Canis lupus familiaris: one gene and its partners. The protein of the gene in region 4 purifies or fractionates together with the protein of the main gene of each other region. This does not show direct contact. Links are inferred from orthologs where the notes say so. Each region holds a gene or a part of one and is shown on either strand. Other genes may lie near its edges. The genes, in order: SLC12A2, PTPRU, SLC30A1, CLGN, SLC9A6, TCTN2 and SLC12A6.

The links.
Region 1: the proteins of CLGN (region 4) and SLC12A2 purify together in Homo sapiens (co-immunoprecipitation; 3 studies listed by BioGRID and IntAct, with this or other methods). This does not show direct contact. The link is inferred for Canis lupus familiaris from reciprocal best matches to the Homo sapiens genes CLGN and SLC12A2.
Region 2: the proteins of CLGN (region 4) and PTPRU purify together in Homo sapiens (affinity purification with mass spectrometry; 3 studies listed by BioGRID and IntAct, with this or other methods). This does not show direct contact. The link is inferred for Canis lupus familiaris from reciprocal best matches to the Homo sapiens genes CLGN and PTPRU.
Region 3: the proteins of CLGN (region 4) and SLC30A1 purify together in Homo sapiens (co-immunoprecipitation; 3 studies listed by BioGRID and IntAct, with this or other methods). This does not show direct contact. The link is inferred for Canis lupus familiaris from reciprocal best matches to the Homo sapiens genes CLGN and SLC30A1.
Region 5: the proteins of CLGN (region 4) and SLC9A6 purify together in Homo sapiens (co-immunoprecipitation; 3 studies listed by BioGRID and IntAct, with this or other methods). This does not show direct contact. The link is inferred for Canis lupus familiaris from reciprocal best matches to the Homo sapiens genes CLGN and SLC9A6.
Region 6: the proteins of CLGN (region 4) and TCTN2 purify together in Homo sapiens (affinity purification with mass spectrometry; 3 studies listed by BioGRID and IntAct, with this or other methods). This does not show direct contact. The link is inferred for Canis lupus familiaris from reciprocal best matches to the Homo sapiens genes CLGN and TCTN2.
Region 7: the proteins of CLGN (region 4) and SLC12A6 purify together in Homo sapiens (affinity purification with mass spectrometry; 3 studies listed by BioGRID and IntAct, with this or other methods). This does not show direct contact. The link is inferred for Canis lupus familiaris from reciprocal best matches to the Homo sapiens genes CLGN and SLC12A6.

The regions. Positions count from the first base shown.
Region 1 is NC_049232.1:17,053,209-17,057,275, reverse strand, and holds the start of SLC12A2 (solute carrier family 12 member 2), read right to left. Parts: upstream 2,801-4,067; coding exon 1,988-2,800; intron 1-1,987. UniProt on the Homo sapiens protein: Cation-chloride cotransporter which mediates the electroneutral transport of chloride, potassium and/or sodium ions across the membrane. Plays a vital role in the regulation of ionic balance and cell volume.
Region 2 is NC_049223.1:70,679,004-70,681,862, reverse strand, and holds the end of PTPRU (receptor-type tyrosine-protein phosphatase U), read left to right. Parts: intron 1-760; coding exon 761-896; intron 897-1,137; coding exon 1,138-1,200; 3' UTR 1,201-2,359; downstream 2,360-2,859.
Region 3 is NC_049228.1:9,811,904-9,815,837, reverse strand, and holds the start of SLC30A1 (zinc transporter 1), read left to right. Parts: upstream 1-1,134; 5' UTR 1,135-1,172; coding exon 1,173-1,788; intron 1,789-3,411; coding exon 3,412-3,934. UniProt on the Homo sapiens protein: Zinc ion:proton antiporter that could function at the plasma membrane mediating zinc efflux from cells against its electrochemical gradient protecting them from intracellular zinc accumulation and toxicity.
Region 4 is NC_049240.1:3,153,950-3,157,449, forward strand, and holds part of CLGN (calmegin precursor), read left to right. Parts: intron 1-2,487; coding exon 2,488-2,601; intron 2,602-2,772; coding exon 2,773-2,923; intron 2,924-3,500. UniProt on the Homo sapiens protein: Functions during spermatogenesis as a chaperone for a range of client proteins that are important for sperm adhesion onto the egg zona pellucida and for subsequent penetration of the zona pellucida.
Region 5 is NC_049260.1:107,407,472-107,410,084, forward strand, and holds part of SLC9A6 (sodium/hydrogen exchanger 6), read left to right. Parts: intron 1-1,954; coding exon 1,955-2,227; 3' UTR 2,228-2,613. UniProt on the Homo sapiens protein: Endosomal Na(+), K(+)/H(+) antiporter. Mediates the electroneutral exchange of endosomal luminal H(+) for a cytosolic Na(+) or K(+).
Region 6 is NC_049247.1:6,206,203-6,210,196, reverse strand, and holds the start of TCTN2 (tectonic-2), read left to right. Parts: upstream 1-1,194; 5' UTR 1,195-1,316; coding exon 1,317-1,398; intron 1,399-1,542; coding exon 1,543-1,650; intron 1,651-2,103; coding exon 2,104-2,192; intron 2,193-3,024; exon of another isoform or gene 3,025-3,100; coding exon 3,101-3,293; exon of another isoform or gene 3,294-3,402; intron 3,403-3,561; exon of another isoform or gene 3,562-3,994.
Region 7 is NC_049251.1:1,127,315-1,130,814, forward strand, and holds part of SLC12A6 (solute carrier family 12 member 6), read left to right. Parts: coding exon 1-76; intron 77-466; coding exon 467-600; intron 601-1,494; coding exon 1,495-1,586; 3' UTR 1,587-3,500.

The DNA of each region.
Region 1 (4,067 bases), on a different chromosome or scaffold from region 4:
CGCCACCCAGGGATCCCTTAAGAGAATTTAAAATTTGAAATCCTAGAGTTGACGCGCTACCTGAAAGACCAATATAGATCAAAATAATAACGATACAAGCCATTATACTCTAGGCAGTAAACATGGGTCTTGATGTCCCCCTTTTTTTTTTTTTTTTTTCCTAATCTTCAAAATAACCCTGAAAGCTGAGGAAGAGGAGGCTCATAGGTTGGGTAGTTGCTTCAACTATACAGCTAACAATACAAGTGTTCTTTTTAAGAGATTGTAAACTGATCAAAAATGCCCAAACAAAAAAAAAAAAACCTCTCAAGTTTTGGAGAACCTGGAAGTGCTTTGTTGTTCAAACTTGAAGTACTTTGTTGTTGAGAGAATTTAAAATAAAAACTTTCCTAGGATGTTTACAAGTTCAAGATATTTAACATCCTTCAATTTAAAAACCCTTTTTAAAACTTATGGGTAAATATAGACTAACTACTTAACTACTCAGCTTTGGTGCAATCTGAAATACGGCTTTATGATGTTTTTAATAATATATATGCTATATACTGGAAGGGAAATTACCAGCTATACATCTACTTTACAGAGGCTTAGAATTTGGCAAGGATAAAAATAATAAATTTGAAAGAAACTAGAGGAGGACAAATAAGTGTTTTAAAAATTGTCTTCTGATATGACAAAATACCATCATGGAGTAACAGGAGTAGTATTATCCAAAACTGAATGTCAGGCTTTTAAAGAATCAGCAAGCTGCAAGAATTGGGACCTCTGTAATTATTTCAAATCGTATGAATGTTACATTATCAAACACTAGGACAAATACAGTCTCGAATGAAACGACTGTATGAGAGCAAATAATCACCTACAAAGAAATTGCCTATGTTCTGTATTTAAACTTTTCCACACTGTGATCATCATCCTATGTGGTACCAACTCTTTCCATTCACAAAATTTCATCAGCGTAGTCACTTAGACACTTGTTAAAGTAGTCCCAACTCCTAAAAGTTAAATATTAATCAAGTTTCAGAAGCACTGAAGTTATCTCAAAACAATGATTTTATACCCTGATGAAATAAAAAGATGATGTGGCCATAAAAAAATAGAATCGTATAAATCAATAGACTTTTGGGGATGGTTTTCTGTTCACAAATATAACTACTTATGCAAGACCCTAGAAGGTCTTTCTGGACATTCTCCACACACGCAAAACAGTAACAAAACCCCCACGATTCCCTTACTTCTCTTTCTCACCTTGTACCTTTCTCCTCACCCTATTTTGCACTTTGCCCACCCTCCCAACTTTTTATATAGTCCTCTCACAAGAAGTTTACGTAATAAAACACAGATTTATGCCATGATCAGGAACATCATCACATCCCAAGATTTGTTTGATCCTTTGCATATTCAAGATGGCAGGAATTGAGCTTTAATAATCCACAGACCACAAACACACCCTGTTAAGATCTTCCTTTCAAACACTACGGTTCCCACTCTCGGGACCCCTAACCGGTGCACGCACATAAGCCATACGACACAACCCCTAAAAAGGGCACAGGCGGTGGGGGCCCTCCACTGTCTTCCCCAGAGAGTAAATCCTCACCGAAACCATCCGCACACACCCTTCCCGGGCCCACCAGCACAACTGTCATTCGGAGGAGGGATGGCTGATGGCTAAGCGTGGGTGAGAAAGCAAGCATACACGAGGGACACACGCAAGTGGACGGTGAAGGCTGTTCAACCCGGTCCCTCTCCGGTCCCCTAACCGGCTCAGCCCGCTGCAAACTTCTAAGAGGTTAAGTTACGTTCCTCCGCGATTCCAGCCTTGACAGCTGCCTGCAGAGATGCCCACGAGCCGTGCACGTCCGTTCCCGCCACCTCACTCACCCGTGGCGAGGCGGCGGCCACATCCCGCGGTCAGCGAGGACCAGAGGTTGGGGATGAGGCAGGGCTGGCGCGAGAGGGCTGCGGGGAAAGGGCTGGGAGCGCTCACCTTCTCCAGCTCGTCGTGGAGCTCGGCCAGGCTGGGCCGGAGCAGCTTCTCGCCCAGCTGCGCTGCGGTGTGCCGGTAGTGATCGATCCTGGGCACGGCGTCCATGGTGTTGTGGCCAAAGGTGCGCAGGTAGTAGGTGTTGGTGTGGGTATCGTAGTAGTAGTGCTGGTGGTGCCCGCTGCCGCCGCCGCTGCCGCCGCCGCCGCCCGAGTGCAGGCTGCTGCCCTCGCTCAGCACCGTGTCCCCGCCGTTCTGGAAGCTCACGTTGGGCCCGTCGCCCGCGACCCCCGCCGCGTCCGACAGGCTCTCGTCGGCAGAAGAGGAGGCGGCCGGGTCCACGAAGTTCACGCGGAAGCGGCCCTTGGCTTCCTCGCTGCCCTTGCCCGGCCCGCTCTCGCCGCTAGCTTTCCCGTCCGCCGGGGTCTCCCTGCCCCCGGCCCCGGCCCCGGCCCCGGCCCCCGCCCCGGCCCCGGCCCCGGCCCCGGCCCCGGCCCCGGCCCCGGCCGCCCCGGCCGCCGCAGCCCGCCCGGCATTCTCGGAAACGAGGTCCACCTGGAAGCGGCTCTGGCTCGGCGTGGGGCCCAGCGGTCTGCCCAGTCCGTCCCCGGCCGCCGCCGCGCCCTCCCCGCGGACCCCGCCGCCGCCCCGGCTCCCGGCCGCAGCATCCTCCGACCCCGAGGGCACGGCCGTGCCGGGCAGCTCCACGCCGGCGCCGGCGCCCGCGCCCGCGGCCCCCGCGGCAGCCGGCGGCGTCTCCCCGACCCCAGCCAGCCTCGGGGCGCCGGAGGAGGGCGCCGTGGGCCCGGGTTCCATCGCCGCCCGCCCGCGGCGGACTCGGAGAGCCCCGCGGCGCCGCGGGCTGCACGCCCTCCGCGCCCCCCGCCGGCGGAGCCCGCGGCCGCAACGCCCGGTGACGGTGACGGAGCCGCCCGCCGCCGCGCCGCCGCTAGCCCGACCCGCACGAACGCCGCCGGCAGCCGAGTCGGCGCGCGAGTGCAGGGGGCGCGGGGCGGGCCGCGCCGTTTAAAGCCTCGGCGGGGCCGCGGCGGCGGCGGCGGCGGCTCGGGCGGCAGCACGCGGGAGGCGGGGTCGGCGGCTCCTCCGCCCCTCGGCCCGCCCCCCCGCGGTCCCGCAGTGTCGCGCGGCGGGCGCTGCCCCGGCGCCCCGGCCCTCCCGGGCTTCTGCCGGAGCCCACGCGAGAGCGGCCTGCGCGAGGACCGCGTCGGTCCGGGCAGCGCGGGCAGCGCCGGCAGCGCGAGCAGGAGCCGGAGCCGGAGCCGGAGCCGGAGCAGGGAGCAGGGAGCAGGCGCGGCGGCGCGCCGCCTCAGCGCCGTCGCCGGGATCTCCGCGCCGCTACCTCCTCTTCCGTCGCCTTCCTCCCACCCCTCCACCTCCTTCCCCCGCCTCCTCTGCGGCGAAGAGGAGAAGGCCCCCGGCCGCCTCCCTCTCTCCCCGCCCCTGGGGCTGCACGTCAATGGGCCGACAGCCCGGGCCTCGTCAGAGCAGGCGGACGGCGGACGGCGGACGGCGCCCGGCCCGGCGGGCGAACGCGCGGGCGGGCGCCCGATGCTCCCGCGGCAGTGGCTGCCACAGCGGAGGCACCAGGAGCTCGCTCGCTCGCTCGCTCTCTCCAATCCTCTCTCTTTCTTTAAAAAAAAAAAAAAAAAATTTTTTTTTTTTTTTTTTTAAGTTCTGAGCTCGCCGTACTGGGGCTGAGCCGGCGAGATCTCGCGAGATGCTGCAGGGCTCGGGGGCCGCTTCACCCGAGGCGTGTGGTACCCGTGGCGGCGCTCGAGCTGCCGGCCGCACCCCCGCCCCCTCGCTCCCGTGGGTGACGCCGGGGGCTTTCCCGTCGGGCCCGCAGGTGCTTCCGGGGCCGCCCGGCGAGGTGCGCCCCCAGGCGAGGTCGGCTCGCCGCGCCGGCCCGCGCCACTGCCCGCTGTCAGCGCCTGAGCCGCTCCGGGCCTGAGCCGAGGGGGGGAGGCAGGATTTCCTCTCAGCCGCCTTTGAGGCGGCCGCCTCCCCGCCTGCCGCGGTAGATTTGCATAACCAGAAACACTCCCGCGGAGATGCGGTGGGT
Region 2 (2,859 bases), on a different chromosome or scaffold from region 4:
TGGTCCTAGTGGGAGAGACCCCTCAAAATGGGGGCTGGGGGCCTAGGCCATCCCCCCTCTCCCAAGGGGAACCCCACACCCTGATGTCACAGGGAACAGAAGAGGGAGAGGAGACGGGATAGGAAGTGTCTCTGTATGTTTGGCTGCCGGTTTGCCTCGGAGTGTGAGTGTGTGCGTGAATTTTCACCACGTGTCTGTGTTGCTGGGGGTGACTGGTGTTTGGGGTATTCATTTTCCATCCTGCTCTCTGGGGTTTGCTTGCTGCTCTGCTGCCCTCCTTCGTCTGTGTCTTTGTCTCAGTGGCATTCTCTCGGAGTGTATCTAGCCTCCTTTCCCTCAGAACCTGCTGTCTTCCTCCTAGAGGCTGGCTCCCTAGCTGCCCCCAGGCTTCCGAGGCCAGTCCTAGTGACTGAGCTCCCAGACCCCACCCTACTGGGTTCCCTTGGCCCCTCCCGTCCCTTCTGGGCTCCCTGACCCCACCCTCCTGGGTTCCCTAGGCCCCGCCCCTCCCATCTGGGGCTCCCTGCCCTTCCCTCCTGGGTTCCCAACCTCTCCCCTCACCTCTGTGCTCCCAGATCTCTCTCTCCTAGGTTTCCTAAGCCCCGCCCCTCCTGTCTGGGGTTCCCTGGCTCTGCTCCTCACCTCTGGGCTGCTTGTCCCTGACCCTCCTCCCTCTTGCTTCCCTGGTCACTTTTGATGTTCCAGCCCCAGGCCAACCCCTCCTGAGCCCCACCACAAGCTTTCTGTGTGTCTCATTTAGAAATGGGGGCGGCCGCAGTGGTACCTTCTGCGCCTGTGCCACAGTCCTGGAGATGATCCGCTGCCACAACCTGGTGGACGTTTTCTTTGCTGCCAAAACACTTAGGAACTACAAGCCCAATATGGTGGAAACCCTGGTGAGAGACCATGTCCCCTTCCCAACCACTTCCAGCTTCCCAGGCCAGACCCAGCCAGTCCCTTGGCACCGCTGTCCTCCACCTGGCTCCCCCTTTTTGGGCTTTGGGCTCTGATCTAATGGTGCCAACACAGTTATACCCATTTGACCAGGGCTCCTACTTGCCCTCTGGGCCCCCATTATCCCTTTCCGTGATACCAGAGAGGGACCAGGCTCATGATTCCTTCTCTCCCTCTCCCCAGGATCAGTACCACTTTTGCTATGATGTGGCCCTGGAGTACCTGGAGGGACTGGAGTCAAGATAGCGGGGCCCCTGGCCTGGGGCCCACATTGTGCACTCAGGGCCAGGCTCAGCACTGAGGACGAAGACCTGTGCCCCTAACTCTGCTCCACTACAGCTCCCGCGGGGAAAGCACTAGGGTGGGCACTGTGCCACCTTGGTGCTCCCTTCCACTGTGGGCAGGGCCTCTCACCATGTCGGATGGGCAGGCTGTGGGCCAAGGAGGAGCTTAGCAAGACTGCAGCGTAGCCCACCTCCACAGGGTCCTACAGGCCTGTGCTGTGAGTCTGGCACTGCCTGGTAGAGTGACAGGGGCTCAGAACTGACAACTCGAGAGGACCCAGGCTCAAGCTCCTTGACTCCAGGCTCAAGCCCCAGACTCTGTCCCAGCCCTTGGCAGAGATGAGCGAGACCCTGCAGAGCCTGTGGCTGGCCAAGGTTTCCACCTGGCAGTGTGGCTTCCTCTTGACATGGATAGAGGGTGCACTGGGGCTTGGCATCTGGAATCCCACCTGGCCTGGCCCCTGAGGGTCCTGGGGAGACTGGGCACATCAGACTCGTCCTCCCCAGATGGGACTCTAGCCCCCTCCACCACCCTGCTGCCCCCTCATCAGCCCTGGGGATATTTTGCTCATGATGCCTCCCACTATGACTTCCTTGATGTGTGCTCTGAGCTTCCGTGAACTGGGATCTGCCCATCCCTGCCCTATTCTCTGTGGGGCCCTATCCCTGCCTGACCCAATGTCTTCAGAATGAAGGCACCTCAGCCCTTCTTCCTGTAACTTTCAGGCCTCACTGGTGGGTCCTGCTCAGCCTAGGCCAGTGACAATCTGCAAGGTTGAACAACAGCCCTTGGGGTTGAGGTTCCTGTGGCTCTGGGTCAGGCTGCCCCCTGAGGACGAGGCACTGCTAGATCAGGGGTGCTTCCAACTTCTACAGTTCAGTGGAAGAACATGTATTTTGGGTTGGAGGAGCAATTCCTTTTTGTTAATTTCATTATTTTTTGATGGGTGGGTGGGAAAATCTCTTTAAAATGGGGCAGGCCACACCCCCATTCCGTGCCTCAATTTCCCCATCTGTAAACTGTAGATATGACTACTGACCTACCTCGCAGGGGCTGTGGGGAGGCATAAGCTGATGTTTGTAAAGCGCTTTGTAAATAAACGTGCTCTCTGAATGCCACAGAGCAGCCTTGTGTGTGTCTGACCAGCCTGAGTGGGGCCTGCTCACCAGCTCCCAGCCCCCTAGTGCTTTGGGAGGGCTCTGGGCTGGGAGGCAGAGGCCCTGGGTCTGGTCAGGCCTTGGTTTTTCCATTCACAAAATGGTGGGGATGTGGACCAGAGCATGGGTCAGGGGACTTTGACCTGTAGGGACAGGTTCCAGAGAACTCTGTCTATTGCTGCCTCTACCCAGGCCTCTGAAGCAGCTCCTCAGTCAGTGGGCTTCATCCTGAGACCCCTGAGGGGCACAGAGCTGCCTCTCACCCATGGGGGCCTGGATCTGGGTTGAGCTCTTTTGGGGACAGCATGGGAGGCTCAGGCTTTGGTATCAGGTCGATGAGCCTCCCCAGCTGTGAAACCCTGGGTAAGTCAGCTCCCTCTCTGGGCCTTGGTTCCCATCTGTAAAATGGGGATGACCCTGATAGGATCAGAAGAGGTCATGACTAAGTGCCTTGTATGGCACC
Region 3 (3,934 bases), on a different chromosome or scaffold from region 4:
GACTCTTTTTATGACCTGCTGACTTTTAGGTTAAGGGTCAGCCGAAATACCAAGATGGCTTGACTTCGGTCAACTCGCCTCCCGAGCCGTCCCTTCACCCACCACGTGGACTCGGCGCGGAGGATCAAAGTCTGCCGGCCGCCCGGCCCCCGTGGGCGCGCGGGGCGCCGCGAGGACCCGCAGGGCGCCGGCAGCCGCCCCGCCGCGCCCCGGGGGACCGCGCCCGCCCCGCCCCGCCCCGCCCCGCCCCCTCCTGCTGCACGCGGCCCGCGCCCCCGACCCTCCCCCACGACGCCCGCCGCTGCACCCGGCCGCGGCCCCCGGCCCACGCCCGGCTCCCGGAGAGGAAGGCCCCGCCCCCATCTGTTGGCGCCTCGGCCCCGCCCCCTCCCGCCCCCCCGAGCCCCCACCCAATGGCGAGCGCGGGAGGGCGGGGAGCGGAGGCTGTCGTGAGGGGGTCCCGGCCAATGGGGAGGCGTGCCGGGCCTGGTGGGCGGGGCGCCGGGGCCTTGTCACGCTCGGGTCCGTGTGAAAACGGGGGTTCCGAGTGCAAAGCAAAGTTTTTTTGTAAACCGTCTGCAAAGGCGGGGGGGCGAAGAAGGCGCCGGAGACCGGGCCGAGTGCAGCTGCCGGGGCCGCCGCCTTTTTAGCTCTTCAGGCGTCAGCTCCGCGGTCCGAGTCCCAGCGGAGGAGACCAGCGGCGGGAAGACCTGCGCCGAGAGCCCTGCAGATGCTCGCAGCCTTGGCAGCGCGGAGCTGCCCGTCGCCCGCCCCCGCCGCCCGCCCGCCGCCGCTGCCGCTCCGGCTCTTCGCCCCCCGGCCCCCGGAGCAGCCCCGGCTCCCCGCCGCCGCCTCGGCCCCCGCCGCCGCCGCCGCCGCCGCCGCCGCCGCCGCCCCGCTGTGGTGTGGGGGCTGCTGGGGCTGAGCCGGGCCTCGGCGCCGGCCCCGAGCACGGCCGCCTGAGCAGCTGCGCGCCGCCCGCCCGCCCGCCCGCCGGGGACGCCCTCGGGCGCGGGGGCGCGGCGGCCTGACCCCGGGGCTCAACCCCGCCCGGCCGCGCAGCCCGCCCCGCGGCGCCCCGCACCCCCCGCCCCCCGGCGCCCCCCGCGCCGCGCCCCCGCCCGAGCCCGCGCCCGCGCCCGCGCCGCCAGGGCAGCCGCCGGCCCGCAGCCATGGGGTGCTGGGGTCGCAACCGGGGCCGGCTGGTGTGCATGCTGCTGCTGACCTTCATGTTCATGGTGCTCGAGGTGGTGGTGAGCCAGGTGACCTCGTCCCTGGCGATGCTCTCCGACTCCTTCCACATGCTGTCGGACGTGCTGGCGCTGGTGGTGGCGCTGGTGGCCGAGCGCTTCGCCCGGCGGACCCACGCCACCCAGAAGAACACGTTCGGCTGGATCCGGGCCGAGGTGATGGGGGCCCTGGTGAACGCCATCTTCCTGACCGGCCTCTGCTTCGCCATCCTGCTGGAGGCCATCGAGCGCTTCATCGAGCCGCACGAGATGCAGCAGCCGCTGGTGGTCCTCGGGGTCGGCGTGGCCGGGCTGCTGGTCAACGTGATGGGGCTGTGCCTCTTCCACCATCACAGCGGCTTCGGCAACGACTCGGGCCACGGCCACTCGCACGGGGGGCACGGCCACGGCCTCCCCAAGGGGGCCCGCGGCAAGGGCGGCCGCGCCGGGGCCGGCGACGACAGCGAGACCCCGGGCGAGCAGAGGCCCGACGCGGAGGAGACCAACACGCTGGTGTCCAACAGCAGCAACTCCAACGGGCTGAAACTGGAGCGGCCAGGTGAGCGGCCGGGGAGGGTGACCGCAGGTGGCCGGGCCGGGGGACGGCGGGACCCTCGGCCGGCCCGGGGCGGGAGGGCCGCACGCCCCCTGCTGCCCGCGCCGCCGCCGTCCGGGGCCGCCGTCCGGGGCCCGCGGGGCTCTCGGGGACCCAGGGCGGCGGGGGGCAGAGGGGGCGGGGGGGGGGGGACCGTCCACAGCCGCCCTCGGGAGCCGTCTTCCCGAGAGACTCTCCTGATCGGGGTTTCCACGGAATCCAAAGTGCTTCCTAATTCAGTTTCCTGCCCCCGACCCCCCACCCCCACCCCCACCCCTTGGGAAACGGAGAGAATCCCCACCTCATCCTGAGTTGTTGGCCGTCACAAACCTTGCCCTGCCCGAGTAGTTCCTGTGCCCTTCAAACAAGTTTCTTCTTTTCAGAGCCCCCCTAGCCATGGACTTCCCTCACCCCAAAAGCCCGGTGAAAGGTGTCTTTTCCGAACGGGCATCGTGTGTGTGTGTGTGTGTGTGTGTGTGTGTGTGTGTGTATTTCACTTACTTGTCTCCAGTCTGAGCCTAATCCTGCAGATCCTAGTTCAGGACCCTGTTTGGTCATGTTTTAACCTTTCACTCCGGACTTTGGAAAATCATACTATAAAATAAGCCTGACGGTGACTTCCCTTATTCCCTTTTTACTGGATGCTTCCCCCCCCCCCCCTCTAAATATGATTACTCTTGAAAGCAATTTGGAAAATGCTGAAAGAAAAGAGATGGGGAAAAGGAATCGACCAAAGCCCAGCTCCCCAAGCTCTGATGATGTTAATAATTTGGTGTATTTCCATCCAGCCTTTTTCCGCTTATATTTATTTGTTTAGTCGGATGATACTACTTGTTCTTTCTTCGAGGTGCAGGATATCACGTTAATGAAATTGAACTTGTACATTGAAAGGTTTACTAAACAGTTGAATTTCCCCTTACTCCCCCTCTGCGAGGTCTTATTCCAAAGAAAACGAGGCTGCTCTGGTGTGTAGACAGTAATTCCTTTAAAAGATGGGTACGTTTGGTTTAAGAACTGGTAGGGTAGATAGTGATCGTTGCAGCTTTTCCTGAAGTTTATGATTGTTGATGGGCTCATATTGCTGATTTGTCGTTTCTAAACACTCCACCAAGAGACTCTTTTCTTGGTTTCTGTTCATGATAAAAGTTAAGATTTAGCTACAACACCTTAATGACAAAGAGGGACCAGAGCTGTGTGTCAAATCAGGCATTTGTAGTAGACTTCTTCCTAGTTGCATTTAATTTGTGGGTGATAGCATTCGATTTTACGTTTTCTCTTGCATATGCCGAAAAGTAGAGCAGAATGTACAGGGGACCCCACCCCCACAGAAAAGATGAACTTTTTTTGGAGGTGGGAGAAGTAGGGGGCTGGTTTGGAGAACGGGGAAGCACTATCTCCTTAAGGACTTGATTTTGCCCTGGCTTGTTCCCAACATGTCAGTTTATATAATAAACTGTCCTGGGCACGTTTTAAAAAAATTTTATTCCATGAAAAATGTTCACCTCTTTCACTAAAATGGACTTGAATGAAGAAGTTTGTATAAACACTGCTAATGTATTTGATACAGCGTTTTTCCTTTCTTTATAGATCCAGAAAAGTCTAGAAATGATGCAGTGGAAGTACAAGTGAATGGGAATCTTATCAGAGAATCTGACCATGTGGAATTGGAAGATGACGATAAGGCTGCACAACTTAACATGCGTGGAGTTTTTCTGCATGTCTTTGGAGATGCTTTGGGTTCAGTGATTGTAGTAGTAAATGCCTTGGTCTTTTACTTTTCTTGGAGGGGTTGTCCTGAAGGGGAGTTTTGTGTGAATCCATGTATCCCTGACCCCTGCAAAGCATTTGTAGAAATAATTAATAGTACTCATGCAACAGTTCATGAGGCTGGTCCTTGCTGGGTGCTATATTTAGATCCAACTCTTTGCATTGTAATGGTTTGTATACTTCTTTACACAACTTATCCATTACTTAAGGAATCTGCTCTAATTCTTCTGCAAACTGTTCCTAAACAAATTGATATCAAAAATTTGATAAAAGAACTTCGAGATGTTGAAGGAGTTGAGGAAGTTCATGAATTACATGTCTGGCAACTTGCTGGAAGCAGAAT
Region 4 (3,500 bases):
ATTAATATGGTTGGATATAAATTATGCTTATTTTCTTTTCTTACTACTTGTTTTCTGTTTGTCCCATATATTCTGTGGTCCTTTATAAGGTATTTTTTTCCCTAAATTCTTTTAGATTGAGTTATTTTGTTTTCTTTTATTTTAGTCTCCTATTTTTTCTTTTCTCTTGGCATATTACCTTTTCCTCTGTGGTTTACTGTTTTAGTGTTGCTGTAAGTTTTATGATATTCATCTTTAACTTATTTCAGTCTACTGTCATCATACCACTTTACATCTAAGTTAATCTTATAAGGGCCTTATATTTTCCTCTTTCATGCTGCTATCATACACTTACTTCTATCTATACTATGAAGGCCACATATATTTATTTTGCAGTCAGTGTCTTTTGATCAGACAATTATTAGGGGAAAAGTTCTTTTATTTACCCTCATAGTTATCATTTCTGGTACTCTTCTGTAGATACACATTTTCATCTGTTATTATTTTCCTTCTGCCTAGTAAACTTCCCAACATATTGTGACATATGTCTGCTGTCATTGAATCCTCTCAACTTTTAATTATCTGAAACTTTATTTTACCTTAATTTTGGAAGGCTGTTTTTACTATTGAATTGCAGGTTGATAGTTATTTTATTTTTTAATTTATTCATGAGAGACACAGAGAGAGAGAGGCAGAGACACAGGCAGAGGGAGAAGCAGGCTCCAAGCAGGGAGCTCCATGTGGGACTCCATCCCAGTCTCCAGGATCACACCCTGGGCTGAAGGCGGAGCTAAACCGCTGAGCCACCCAGGCTGCCCCATAGTTATTTTAAAACCATAATTTCTTGCGTTGTCTTGAGGAAGCTTGAATTGTTTCTGATAAGTCAGTTGTTATTCTCATCCTTTTTCTCCTTTACCTAATATGTAATTTTTTCCTGTTTGGTTTTAAGATTTATTATTACTGATTTTCAACAGTTTGGTTTTGTGTATATGTGTTTGCTTTGGTTTACTTTGCTTCTGAGCTTTTTGGCATATAGCTGTATAGTTTGTATCAAATTTGGGTAATATTTGGCCATTATTTCTTTAAATATTTATATGTGTCTCCCCTTTCTTTGGAACATCATGTAAAATGTATGTTTACATTTACATGATGTCACAGGTTACTGAGGATCTATTCATTTTTAAAAAGATTTTATTTGTTGGGGGGGCAGGAGCAGGATGAGGAGGGGCAGAGGGAAAGCAGACTTCCTGCTGAGCAGGGAGCCTGATGAGAGGCTCAAGGCTAAGTCCCAGGACTCTGGGATCATGACCTGAGCCAAAAGCAGACTTTAACTGATTGAGCCACCCACACACCCCTGTTCATTTTTTAAACCAATTTTTTTTCTCTCTGCTTCATTTTGGAAAATGTCTACTCCTATTTCAAATTCTTACTTGTTTGTAAACATTGGGGTTACTACGTACTCAGAAATAAGAGTGTTGCTTCTGGATAACCAAAAGTGTTTACTTGTTAACTCTCTTGTAGATAAAGAGAGATTCTGATTAGTGATAAAAATGTCTTTGCCTTCAAGCAAATAGTATAATAGGGAAACAACCTTTATAAGGTAGGAAGAACAGTATAGTTTTTTAAAAAACTAATAAAAAGTCACTTATTAATGCATAACTTTCATGAATTCACTTTCAGAAAAGGGTAGGACTACAATCCTTCATGTGGATTGTCTTACATTGCTTCATATTTGTTTACCCATAAAAAGTAAGGCTGAGAAAGAAGATTGCCCTTAAATAAGAGAAATGGGTTATGATAACCTTTTTCCAATTGGTGATACCTGTTAGAATTTGTTTTATAAACTGCTAAAAGAAATGTTCCCTTAAAATTTTAAACTCTAATAGTTACTCTGAACCCTGACAGACTTAAGATAACATTGATATCAGGCAAGTACAAGTCTTTAGTTACAGGGAGTTGATTATTTGAGTTTATCTTACTTAGGTTTGTTTGAAAAATCATACTGTAACCTCTTGTTTAAAATTTTTACTTTTCTATAAAGATGAAAATTATCATTAGGAGTTCTATTCAGTACTTAATATGATTATTTTTATATATTTTAGAATTTGTTTTCTAAGTGTTTTTAAATGAAAATACTAAATTACGGGACACCTGGGTGACTCAGTGGTTGAGTGTCTGCCTTTGTCTGAGGTTGTGATCCTGCAGTCCTAGGATCAAGTTCCACATCAGACTCCCCACGAGGAGTCTGCTTCTCCCTATGCCTGTGTCTCTGCTTCTCTCTCTGTGTGTCTCTCATGAATAAATAAATAAAAAAATTTAAAACAAATTATAAAAAATAAAAAGTGACAAGTTAGCAGAAGATTTTGGCGAATGAGAGATGGGGGAAGTAGCAGGCACAAAAGACAGAAGGGTAGGAAATACCGGTTGAATATCTTCTGAATTTTGTAACATATGTATTTTTAAACTTTTTGAATAATTAATACTTGGCACAAAATACTCTATTTCCAGGGATGAAAGTGAACCTGCCCAAATAGAAGATTTAAGTGTTGTTAAACCTGATGGCTGGCTTGATGATGAACCAAAATTTATTCCAGATCCAAATGCTGAAAAACCTGATGACTGGTAAATATTCTTCATCTTCAAATGTCAATTTCTTTCTTGCTTTGTGCTACTAGTTCATGTGACTTACAGGAGAGACTTGAAGCTACTATACTTGAGGTCACTATAAATGCATAGATACACATTTTCGTCTGTAAAGCTTTTATGTTGAATTTTTTCCCCTACTTTCCTAAGGAATGAAGACATGGATGGAGAATGGGAGGCACCTCGTATTTCTAATCCAGCATGTCGAATTGGGTGTGGTGAGTGGTCACCTCCCATGATAGATAATCCCAAATACAAAGGAGTATGGAGACCTCCAATGATAGATAATCCTAACTACCAGGTAATAACCACTTCTTCCAATTCCACAGTCAAGTTTAAAATGCTGTGATATTTCTATTCTGTATCTAGTTGTTATTAATGTCATGTTGGGAGACGCCTGGGTGGCACAGTCGGTTAAGCCTTTGGCTAAGTTGTGATTCCAGGGTCCTGGGATTGGCTCCAGCTTCCTGTTCAGTGGGTTGTCTGCTTTTCCCTATCACTCCGTCAATACCCCGCTTGTCCTCTCTCTTAAATAAATAAATAAATAAATAAATAAATAAATAAATAAATAAATAAAATATTTTTAAAAATAATGTTAACTTTTAGAAATTTGATTTGTAATAGTATGCATTAACTATTTAAGAAGTCAAAGAAAATAGACTCCAACTAATTTATATTTAAAAAGTAAAGTATTCTTGGGGCACCTGGCTGGCTCAGTCCATAGAGTATGTGACTTTTGATTTCTGCCTCATGAGTGCAGGCCCCATGGTGGGCATAGAATTTACTTTTAAAAAATTTTTAAGTATTCTTTATGTGATTTTCTGGGGGAATAATATTAAGAACTAAAGATCAGTGACTTCATACTATATTTTTCCCTG
Region 5 (2,613 bases), on a different chromosome or scaffold from region 4:
TCAGGGCCCATGCTAATGACTTCATCTTAACCTGATCATCTGCAAAGACCCTATTTCCATGTAAGATTGCATTCACAGGTACTGGTGGTTGGGATTTCAACATCTTTTGGGGAGATATCATCTAACCCATAACAACCATAAAACTTAATTTTTAATGTTATTTTTCATTTAATTACCTACTTTTTTAGTTATAAAAGTTACCATACTTGTGGCCAGATATTCAAACAGTATGGAACAAAGTGAAAAATCAAAGTTTGCTCCTTCTCCCAACTACATCCCCCCCAGAGGTAGTCTTTATGAAGGATTTATTGTGTGTCCTTCCTGATATATTTTATCTGCACAAACATACATGTCTATATAGCTTAGTTACAGTTTTATATAAATGAGATCACAATTGCATTGTCCTGCTACTTGTTTTTTTTTTTTTCACTTGATGACATAGCATGGCTACCTTTCTATGAGTACCTGAAGACCATTACCTTCTCTTTATCCATGGCTGAATAGTGTGGCTGGACCAGCATTGATTTAATCAGTCTCCTGCAGCTAGACCTTTAGGTTGTTTCTTTTCCTTTTTTTGTCATTACAAACCATGTTTATGGGTAAAGGCACCCCAGAGCTTTGTTGTGAGTATTACTCAGGAAGGGGACAGACCCTAGTGAGCTTTCACGTTATACTGCACCAGGCAAGAGGGCATTCTGGTTGGTTGGTGGAATGAGTTTGTTTCATTTTTAATTCACATGGCTTTGAGTATTTAGGCAAATTTCGAGCAATAACAAATTAAAACTGTTTTAAATTTGTATCAGTCTCCTTAGTCTATCTTAGACAAATTTAAGATTTCCAAACATAGCTTAGAAGAGCTGGATGTCAAAGTTTGTATCAACTCTACTTCTCTGAAGGAGTATTAGTCACAGAAGCTTTTTTTGCCAGATCCATAGGAGTGTTTAGAATGATTGTTTCACTTTATATTAGAAAACAATGACTTTTGGATTTTTAAAAGTCATATGTACTTATTATAATAAAATTTCAAACAGTGTGGAAACATAAGATAAATCACTAGCAATTTTATTATGCAGAATTAATGATCATCGTTTTGTTGATTACCTTTCCAAACTTTTCTCTGCACGCATAACATTCTTTTATTTACCAAATTGGCATTACATATGCTTGATTTTTCCCCCTTTTGTAGAACTTTACTTAATTCTACTCTTTTGGCCACAAAGTCTCCATTAGAACCAAAAGCTTATTGAGCTGGAACACAAGTATATGGTGAGGGTTCAGCATATTTGGGGGATATTATATCTCTAGGCATTGTTCATATAGAAGTAATAGCTTCACTTACATAAATCCACTCAATAATCCATCAGACTTACATTTGGAGGATACTTTCTGTGTGCCCCTACCTGTTAGGTGTTTGGACTACAGCAAAGGGGCTCAGAGGCTAGTAGTGTGAGATGTGAGAGCAGACCAGTGCACCTGCAGTTGTGGTACAGGGATAAAGGGCACTGTAGGGCCAGGAGTCAGCACAGGATGCCGGGAGAGAACACAGGAGGCACACTGAAGCCAGCTTTGCTAGATCATAGAAGACGTCCAGCAGGAAGGGACTTCCTTTAACTAAGACCTCAGTGATAAACAGGCTCTATTCCCAGGAAGGAGGGCAGGGAAGACAGGAGGTAAGAGGAAGCATGAGTGATTTGGGCACCTTTCAGCAGTTCAGACGGCAGGCATACAATGTGGAGGCTGGAGTGGGTGAGGCAGATGCAGGGGGCTGGGGGTGGGGAGGGGAGGGCCAGACTCACGCAATATCTTTAAGCTAAGGTGAGGGCTATAGGCTTTATCCTGAGGGCAGCAGGCTAGCCCTAAAGGGTTTTTAATAGGGAATCCTTGCAAATTCTTCTATTGAAAATGTTTGTTGAGTCGCATAGCAATTCTTAAGACTTATTTTATTTGCATTTAGAACCAGGAGCAATTGAAAGACGATGACTCCGATCTTATTCTCAATGATGGTGATATTAGTTTGACATATGGGGATTCTACTGTGAACACCGAATCAGGAGCATCTGGTGCCCCTAGAAGGTTTATGGGAAACAGTTCCGAAGATGCCTTGGATCGGGAGCTTGCATTTGGGGACCATGAACTGGTCATTCGGGGAACACGCCTGGTTCTTCCTATGGATGATTCCGAACCCCCATTAAATTTGTTAGATAATACGAGACACAGTCCAGCCTAAGCTTACTAATACTCCCTTAGTGATTTGTAAAATTTGCACATGTGATTGTGAAGAAATTTGTACTACCTAAAAAGTCCCAGTGCATGTCTCTGAATGTTTAAGCTATATAAATGCTCTTTATATGGCATTGAGAGAATATAAATATCTGTACAAGGCAGATTGTGAACAAACTATTCTTTTACATTTCATTGGCTGCACTATGTAGATTGGATCTGTTTTAGAAAAAAGTTATTTTCACAGTGATGTTGTGTGTTCTGTTAGCTTTATGTCTCAGTTAAAGTATAAGAAGTGACAGATTTACTCTTTACACTTACCTGATACTTAACTAGAGTACCAAGTTCTTGTGCCGTGAATTAATTTTGTTTTGTGGGAGGGGAGGGAGAGGA
Region 6 (3,994 bases), on a different chromosome or scaffold from region 4:
ATCCTGTCAGGGAGGGACTGTTCTCTCCCTTCTACAGATGAGGAAACTCAAATTCGGAGAGGTTAGGTGAGCTGCCCTAGGTCACCCTGTTGTGCCCAAGATTGTGAATCCGAGAAACCACCAAGGAGCTGACACCGATGCAAACACATGAGCGTTTATTTACAAGCTTGAGCTTGGGTCCAAGTGCAACACACACAGCGGAGCAGGGACTTGGACCGGGAAGTGGGTTACAGCTGGGTTTTTTATGGGCTGGTCTAGGGGATCTTCAGAAGGGGTGGAGGAATTTTTTCCATTCCAATATGGGGGAAAGGGTGGGGGAGTTTCTTAAGATCTGATAAGGGATTCTCTGCGGAGGGCATTCTGAGCTTTATGGTCTTTCCGATATGGGATTCCCTGCCGAGGACATTCTGCAGTTTTTCCTGTAAAGTTCAGCTCTTATTCCCAGGGGACTAAGATGCCTGTACTTGTGCTAATGCTAAACGTGAGGTGGAATGGCCTTAATTTTTCTCTGCCTCCACAACCCAGTCGCGGAAGGAGGGAGAAATCCCACAGTGATCCCATAGCCTGCACCCCTAGTTGGATTACAGTAATATGGTGTGAGATGCTTTGAGGCTATTGACATAGCATTCAGACACTTTGGCAACCGTCCTAATGCTGGGCAAAATACTTTGTGTTCTTTGAAAAGATCTGCCAATGGGGAGACTTGGTGGCTCAGTGGTTGAGCATCTGCCTTTGGCTCAGGGCGTGATCCTGGGGTCGTGGGATCCAGTTCCGCGTTGGGCTCCCTGCAGGGAGCCTGCTTCTCCCTCCGCCTGTGTCTCTGCCTCTCTCTCTCTCTCTCTCTGTGTCTCTCATGAATAAATAAAATCTTAAAAGAAACCTGCCTACAAGCGCTTATGGCTCCGTGCGGCAAAAACAAGCAACACAAAACTCTTCAAAAAATTGGGAGGATAAAAACAATTCAACAGCGCTGCAGTTACAGCACGGCAGCCCCACCCCCTTTTTTGTCCTCCCAAAGTGCCCATAAAAGTCCAGTTTATTAAGGAGCTTCTTCAGGAGCCAGCGCCCGTAGGCTCGCTCTTGCCGCGTGACTAGCTGGAGGCGAGGGCACCGCTTCCCCTTCGCCATCCCCGCGTGGAGACGCCGGGGCGCAGGCCTGTGGGCGGGGCTCTGAGGCCCGCGGCTGATTGGTGGTTGCCATAGCTCCGGCTGGCTTCGCAAGATGGCGGCGGCGGGGCGGCGCGGGCCCCGGCTGCAGAGCTCCCCGGCTTCCGAGGTCGGCGCGGTTCCGTGAAGCGAGCCCCCAGGCCTCAGGCATGGGCTTGCCGCCGCCGGCCCCCCTGCTCCTGGGGCTTCTCCTTCTGCAGGGCGTCCTGAGGCCGCTGTGGGGGGACCTGGGTGTGTACCGCAGGGCCGGGGCCTGCAGGCCGGGGCGGGGGCGGGGGCGGGGTTGGGAACGGGGCGTTTAAGGGGCCAGACTTGGGACCCCTCCCGGAGTCCTTGCAGCTAGTAAATCCACCCTTCCCCTTCTTTCCCGCCTAGTCTTCATCCCAGCTTTCATCCGCATGACCGGCCCCGCGGCCAGCGCGTCCCTGGTCGGACGCACGGAGGATGTGACCGTGTCCCTGGCCCTGCTGCAAGACAAGGAGGGTAAAGAGTCCGGCCCTTCCTGTGGGGAGGGTGGGGCTGGGCGGCCCACGGAGCCTGGCCACGTGGCATCCTGGGAGGTGGCATCCTCGCGGCGCCGGCCGCCGGCCACTGCAGAGTCGGCGTGGGAGCAGGGATGGGGGGCCGCTGCGGACCACCGCTGGCCGACCGAAGGGTTCGGTGAAAGCGAGCTTGGGGCCGCCATGGCTAGCATCCACTGAGCTGTCTGTCCCCTGTGCTTTACGTGCAACCGTATTTTCCTAGTAAGAACAGTAATATCCTTTCATGTCCTTTAACAAATGAAGACACTGCAGTTCAGAGAGGTTGTCACTTGTCCAAAGTCGCACAACTTATGAACGGCCCAATCCTCATTCCCTCCTAGGGAGCCTGAGTCCAGCATGCACCCCCTTAGCTGCTGGGCAATCCCGCCTTGCATCCTAAACTTCTCTCCTATAGGGTTATTACCGGTTCCTGCTTGTGGAGTGCTGACGAATGAGACAGGAGAATGGAGCTTGACTGTGACCCCTAGTGTGGTAAGGTCAGAGGTAAAATGTCCTCGGTTAGCACTCATGGACACCTGCAGTTAGTGTTTCTGCAGGGCTTTCTTGGTTGGTTAAGATACATAGTTTTCCCTCTGCTTGGAACTACCATGAAACTGTAGGTTATCCGTTCCAGTGGACACCCACCCAACTCAGTGGGGCTCACCCTAGATTCAGGGATCCTTGGACAAATTTCAAGAAGTTTGTGAACCCTCTGAAATTGTCTGTAATGTTATTTGTGTGCCTGCATTTTTCTGAGGAGAGGGTTGCCAGCTCACATCAGATTATCAAATGGATCCATGACTCAAAAATCTTCATAGCCACTGGCCTCACCCAGCTCTGATCTTACATGTAAGAATACTCAAGCCCAGAGGAGTTAAATATCTTCCATTTAATAAATGTTTTATTGAGTGCCTAGTATGTGCAAGACATCAAATTTGGAGATAAAGGCTGAGAAAGGCAGACTTTGCTTATACTGCAGGAACTAGGGACTGTTTTCATTGACTTGTGTGTGCTTTTCATCTGCTGATATGCTGGTAGGATGATAAAGTCTCTAAAAAGGTGCTGGGCATACTGAGTTAATTTACCTGACAGACCTATGTTTAGGCTTCTCTAACTCTCCAAAAGTTGCTTGCTTTTCTGTTAAACTGAGGATTAGGAATCAGGGCTTGCATACTGCCCAAGTTTACAGGGTAGGATCAAATGATGTGATCTTTGTATATAGTTCTCCTTTTTCAAGTGAACTGAAGCTGATATGTAATTTTATTGTGTTTTCCATTATGTGTTCTTAGAATTATTCGTGCTATGTTGAGTCACTTTATTTATTTATTTATTTATTTATTTATTTATTTATTTATTTATTTATTTATTTATTGTTGAGTCACTTTAAAAGGGACAGCACGTTTTCCTTTCAGAATGCATTGGATGTGACAGTGAGAATGAAGAGGGGTCTGCAAAGGTGTTTCTCTGAGACAGATTCCTTCTCAGAGTCCCCGTGTATTGTCCAGACTCTTCTGGTTTCAGCATCTCGCAATTCATCCTGCTTAGCACATCTGCTCATTCGAGTGGAAATTTATGCCAACTCTTCTTTGGCCCATAATGCATCAGGTTAGTAAAGTCTTTGACAATCAAAACATTCATGCCAGACATTATCTGTCAGATTATAAGCATATGACATGCAATCTGTGCACTCTGCTCTTGAATCAATTTTACCTTTCTAAAAAAACAAAACAAAACCAAAAAAACCCAATTTTACCTTTCTAAACATACTTCCTTTTTGCTTAATTTTCTTATTTTAGAAATTTATAATTTGTACTATTTTACTTAATTAAGACCTATTTTATTTTGTGCTATTGTTCATATCCTTGTAGATTACCTTCAAGGGAGAAAGAGAAGTTTGTTTCTGTGTATTGATTCTTGTGACTCCATCTTAAAACCAAAAACAACAACAACAACAAAAAAGAAATGAGGGAAAGATTAATGAAGTTTACAAAACAAACAGAAAACCCACAATAAATTTTCAGTCAAAGTTGCCTTTTCAGAGGCAGCCTCTTAATTTCCGCTTATGGAGGTGTGTGATATTCTCTTGTTTAAAAACAGTACACACACATGCACTAATAACATGCAATTTACTATTCTATTCTATACCTTTTAAAAATAAATTCCATATAAATGTAGGTTCACCTATTTTTTTTAAGAGCTGCATAGTATTCCCTTGTGCGGCGATACCATTGTTTGACTAGTCTCTTACTGATGGCATTTAAGGCACTTCTAGCTTATGATGTATAACTAGCACTATAGCAGATATC
Region 7 (3,500 bases), on a different chromosome or scaffold from region 4:
AAGACAAGTACATGGCATCCCGGGGACAAAAGGCTAAGTCAATGGAAGGATTCCAGGACCTGCTTAACATGCGTCCGTAAGTTTTGCAGCTCACAAGCTTATCACATAACGTGGTATCCTAGTCAGAGTGGCACATATGTAACTCTGCCTGGATACACAGGATGAAGTCCGTTCTTCACATCACCCCAGATCCAGCCTCTTTGTTATTTGCCTGTGCCTGTCAGCTACCAGTTAGTCTTGTACATAAGCTAACCAGCCTTCTTTCTCACCATACTGTGTTCCTGGCATAAAAGAAGCAAATGTAGAATGAGAAAATCCAGGATATTAGCATAAGGAAAACATTTGTTCATTACATTATTCATAACCAAAGTAAAAAAGCTCTGTATTTCATGGTGTTTAAAGTTGACTGTGTGTCTAGCTTTCACTTTGCCTTAACCACCTCTGTTTCTCCCTTCTACCCATCCAGGGACCAATCCAACGTGAGGCGGATGCATACAGCAGTGAAACTCAATGAGGTCATAGTTAACAAGTCCCATGAAGCAAAGCTGGTTTTGTTGAATATGCCAGGGCCACCCCGAAACCCTGAGGGTGATGAAAACTGTATCCTTTCCAAGAGTGGAGCTACCAGTAGGGAAGTCGTTAGTGGTTCTGAGATGCGACCACTGAGTAGCCTTAACATCACTGTCTGTGCCCACATTCGTTCTTGAGAAGGGAAGGCTGTTGAAAGCCTTAGGCAAGGATTCTTACACAGCAATGAGATTGAGCCCCTCTGGGGGAGTTGGGTGTCCATAGACTCTTGAGGTGGTAACTCTGCAACATGATTGCTAACACTCACAGTACAGAACCCTTTCTGAAACAGTCCTAGAGACACAAGACCCACATCCTTTTTCCTTTTCAGGCTTCACCCACTTCGCAAAGCCTTTCTTGTGGATGTAGTTAGGGGAGAAGCAGTTTAAGTGAAATCTTCTCAGAGGGGAAAAAGATAAGGGTTTTTCCTCATACCCTCATCACACCTCATTTTTTTTATGGGCCCCCTTCAGAAATGCAGTGGTGTAGACTAGCCCTCTCCCATCAGTACCATTAAGGAAAAGAGATTAAGGAAGAAAAAGAACTGGCAGAGAAAACTGATTTGAGCAGCTCCCTTAGAAATTACTTGGGTTCTCTAGCAGTCTTAGGAGCTGCCCTGTGTGGCTTTTCTCTTTTGGCTTATTTTACTGTGTTGTACACACACATTACTTGTGAGTTCCCTCATTTGTAAAATAACATTTAGAACAAAAATCTAACAAATGAAGGTCTTGTATTATATACGCAAAAGAACTAGATCCCTGGATTAGTTCATAGGGGTTAACCGAATCCAGAGTTCAGACTTCTCCCATTCTGAGCAGGTAATAATTAAGACAAGCATGTTAACTTTGCAGCGTTGTAGTCAGACAAACCCCGATTCTCATGACGTCAGGCTGTAAAGTGTGCTCTTCTCCTTGACAAATTCTGAAGACATGGAGTTCCTAGAAGTGCTCACCGAGGGACTAGAGCGAGTCCTCCTCGTCCGAGGTGGTGGCAGTGAAGTGATCACCATTTATTCCTAATCTACTCCTGAAGACTCTGCCTTTCTAAAAGGCCTCCCCTTTATAAAAGGTTTCTGCATAGGAAGCCAGCTCCTTACTACCACTTCCATCCAGTAGAAGCTGGGGTTCTGTACACAGCACATTGAATTTCTTGACAGGCTGAGCCTCAAGTACTTGTGCAGAAAAGTACACGTCGTTCTGCTCTTTGCTACCATACAATCTCCAGTCCTGACAGGAACAGCAGGTATTTCCTCAACTTCAGAACACTGGTCAAGTCCTGAAAGCCATGTCTGGCCTAGCTGAAGACAAATTAGAATTAACAAGCTAAACTATTAAAATGAATTGGCAAAAGGGATGCTAGAAATTCAGCTGAAGACAAAAAGCAAGTACATGTCCTATATTAAAGGGGCATCTCCAAAGTCACAATTCAGTGATGACACCATGAGGGTAAAAGAGACACAACTCATCGTAATACAGACTACATGGCTAAGTATGTGGGGACCTAACATCGTTGTGGGATATCCTGTGGCAAACCAAGATGAAAACCTTTTTTAGCTCATTTTCTTTGATGTATCCACTCCTCTCAAGGACTCTGTTTTATATTAGAGTACTAATATACAAACACTGAAACATGGCTGCAGCCTCTAATTCTTCCTTCAAAACAAGATTCCCCCAAAATACCAGTTTCAAGGACAGATTGTGTTGGTCTACATGTCAGCTGGTTCTCAAAATCCATTCCATGGTTAACATTGTAATACAAGCATTGTTATCCTGGAAATTGTCTTTTAAAGGTGGAGTAAAAAGGATATCTTTCAGGTTTTCAAATGGCCAAATTAAAGTTAACTCCAAAAGGTAGCTATTAAGATCTACTGAAAGTCTTTGGTTGCCTGTGCATCGTGGGCAGTACATACAAGCTGTTACCTAGGACATCTAGGTGACGATGCACCTTGACCAGTAGTTTCTCCTCTCCTTTCTTTTTTGCCCTCTGGGTTAGTAGACAGGTCCAGAATCCTAGGAATAAAGACTAGCTAGAAGACTCACTGAAATCCCTGAAAGCGTGGGACTGTGTTTTAAAGGGGGAATCTAGCAATGGAATTTGAAGTTCTAGAGCCATACTCCTTCCACAGTGCCAAAGATTGAGCTGCTGCTACTCTCCCTGCCTGCCTCCCTGAAGTGGCACAGGATTGGCACTGGCCTGTCAAGAAACTTCTTTTTCACTAAGAAACTGTGGACTCATTTCCAAAGCCATAGCAAAGACATAAGGCCCTCAGCTCACCTAAATACCCAGAGTCTGAGCATTTTTCTTTTTTCAATTTTATTCTTCATTGGGACTGCAGGAACTTGGCTCTGAACTAAGATTATCCAAGCCAGCAGTCCTCTGCTATTCCATTTGCTTTCAGAAAGCTCTCAGCGTGTCAAGGAAATACTTGTGCAAGCTTAGCTTTTTATTTGCTGGTCGTAAAACATTCACTGGTTGTCTTCATTTACTGGTCATAACACACCAGGCTTTCAAGCATAGGGAAACTGCTTCGATTGGTAACTGAAAATATGTGAAATGTTCATTTCTTTTATAGGACAAGTATTTAGAGAAACTATTTTGCCTGTATTCATGATCACTTTTATCACTTTATTAATGATAAATAGTGCCACTCTTTTTTCCATATCCTATTGGATATGGAATAAGCAAACCTAGGTATCAGCAGATTATTCATTTGAACCTTATGGACAGAGGAGAAAACCCTTCAGTATGGCTTAGAAATTGAGTATTTTGTTTCCTTTGTTCTTTTTTTTCCAACCTCAAGACCTAGTCAAGGTAGCAAAGCAGACACAAGTTTTTCTTGCTCCTCACTGTAGAGGGTAGAGGCATTGTTTACAGCTTCCACTGTAATACTCTATTGTTTAGTTGAGTCCACGGTAGTGGGACAGGTACCCTAG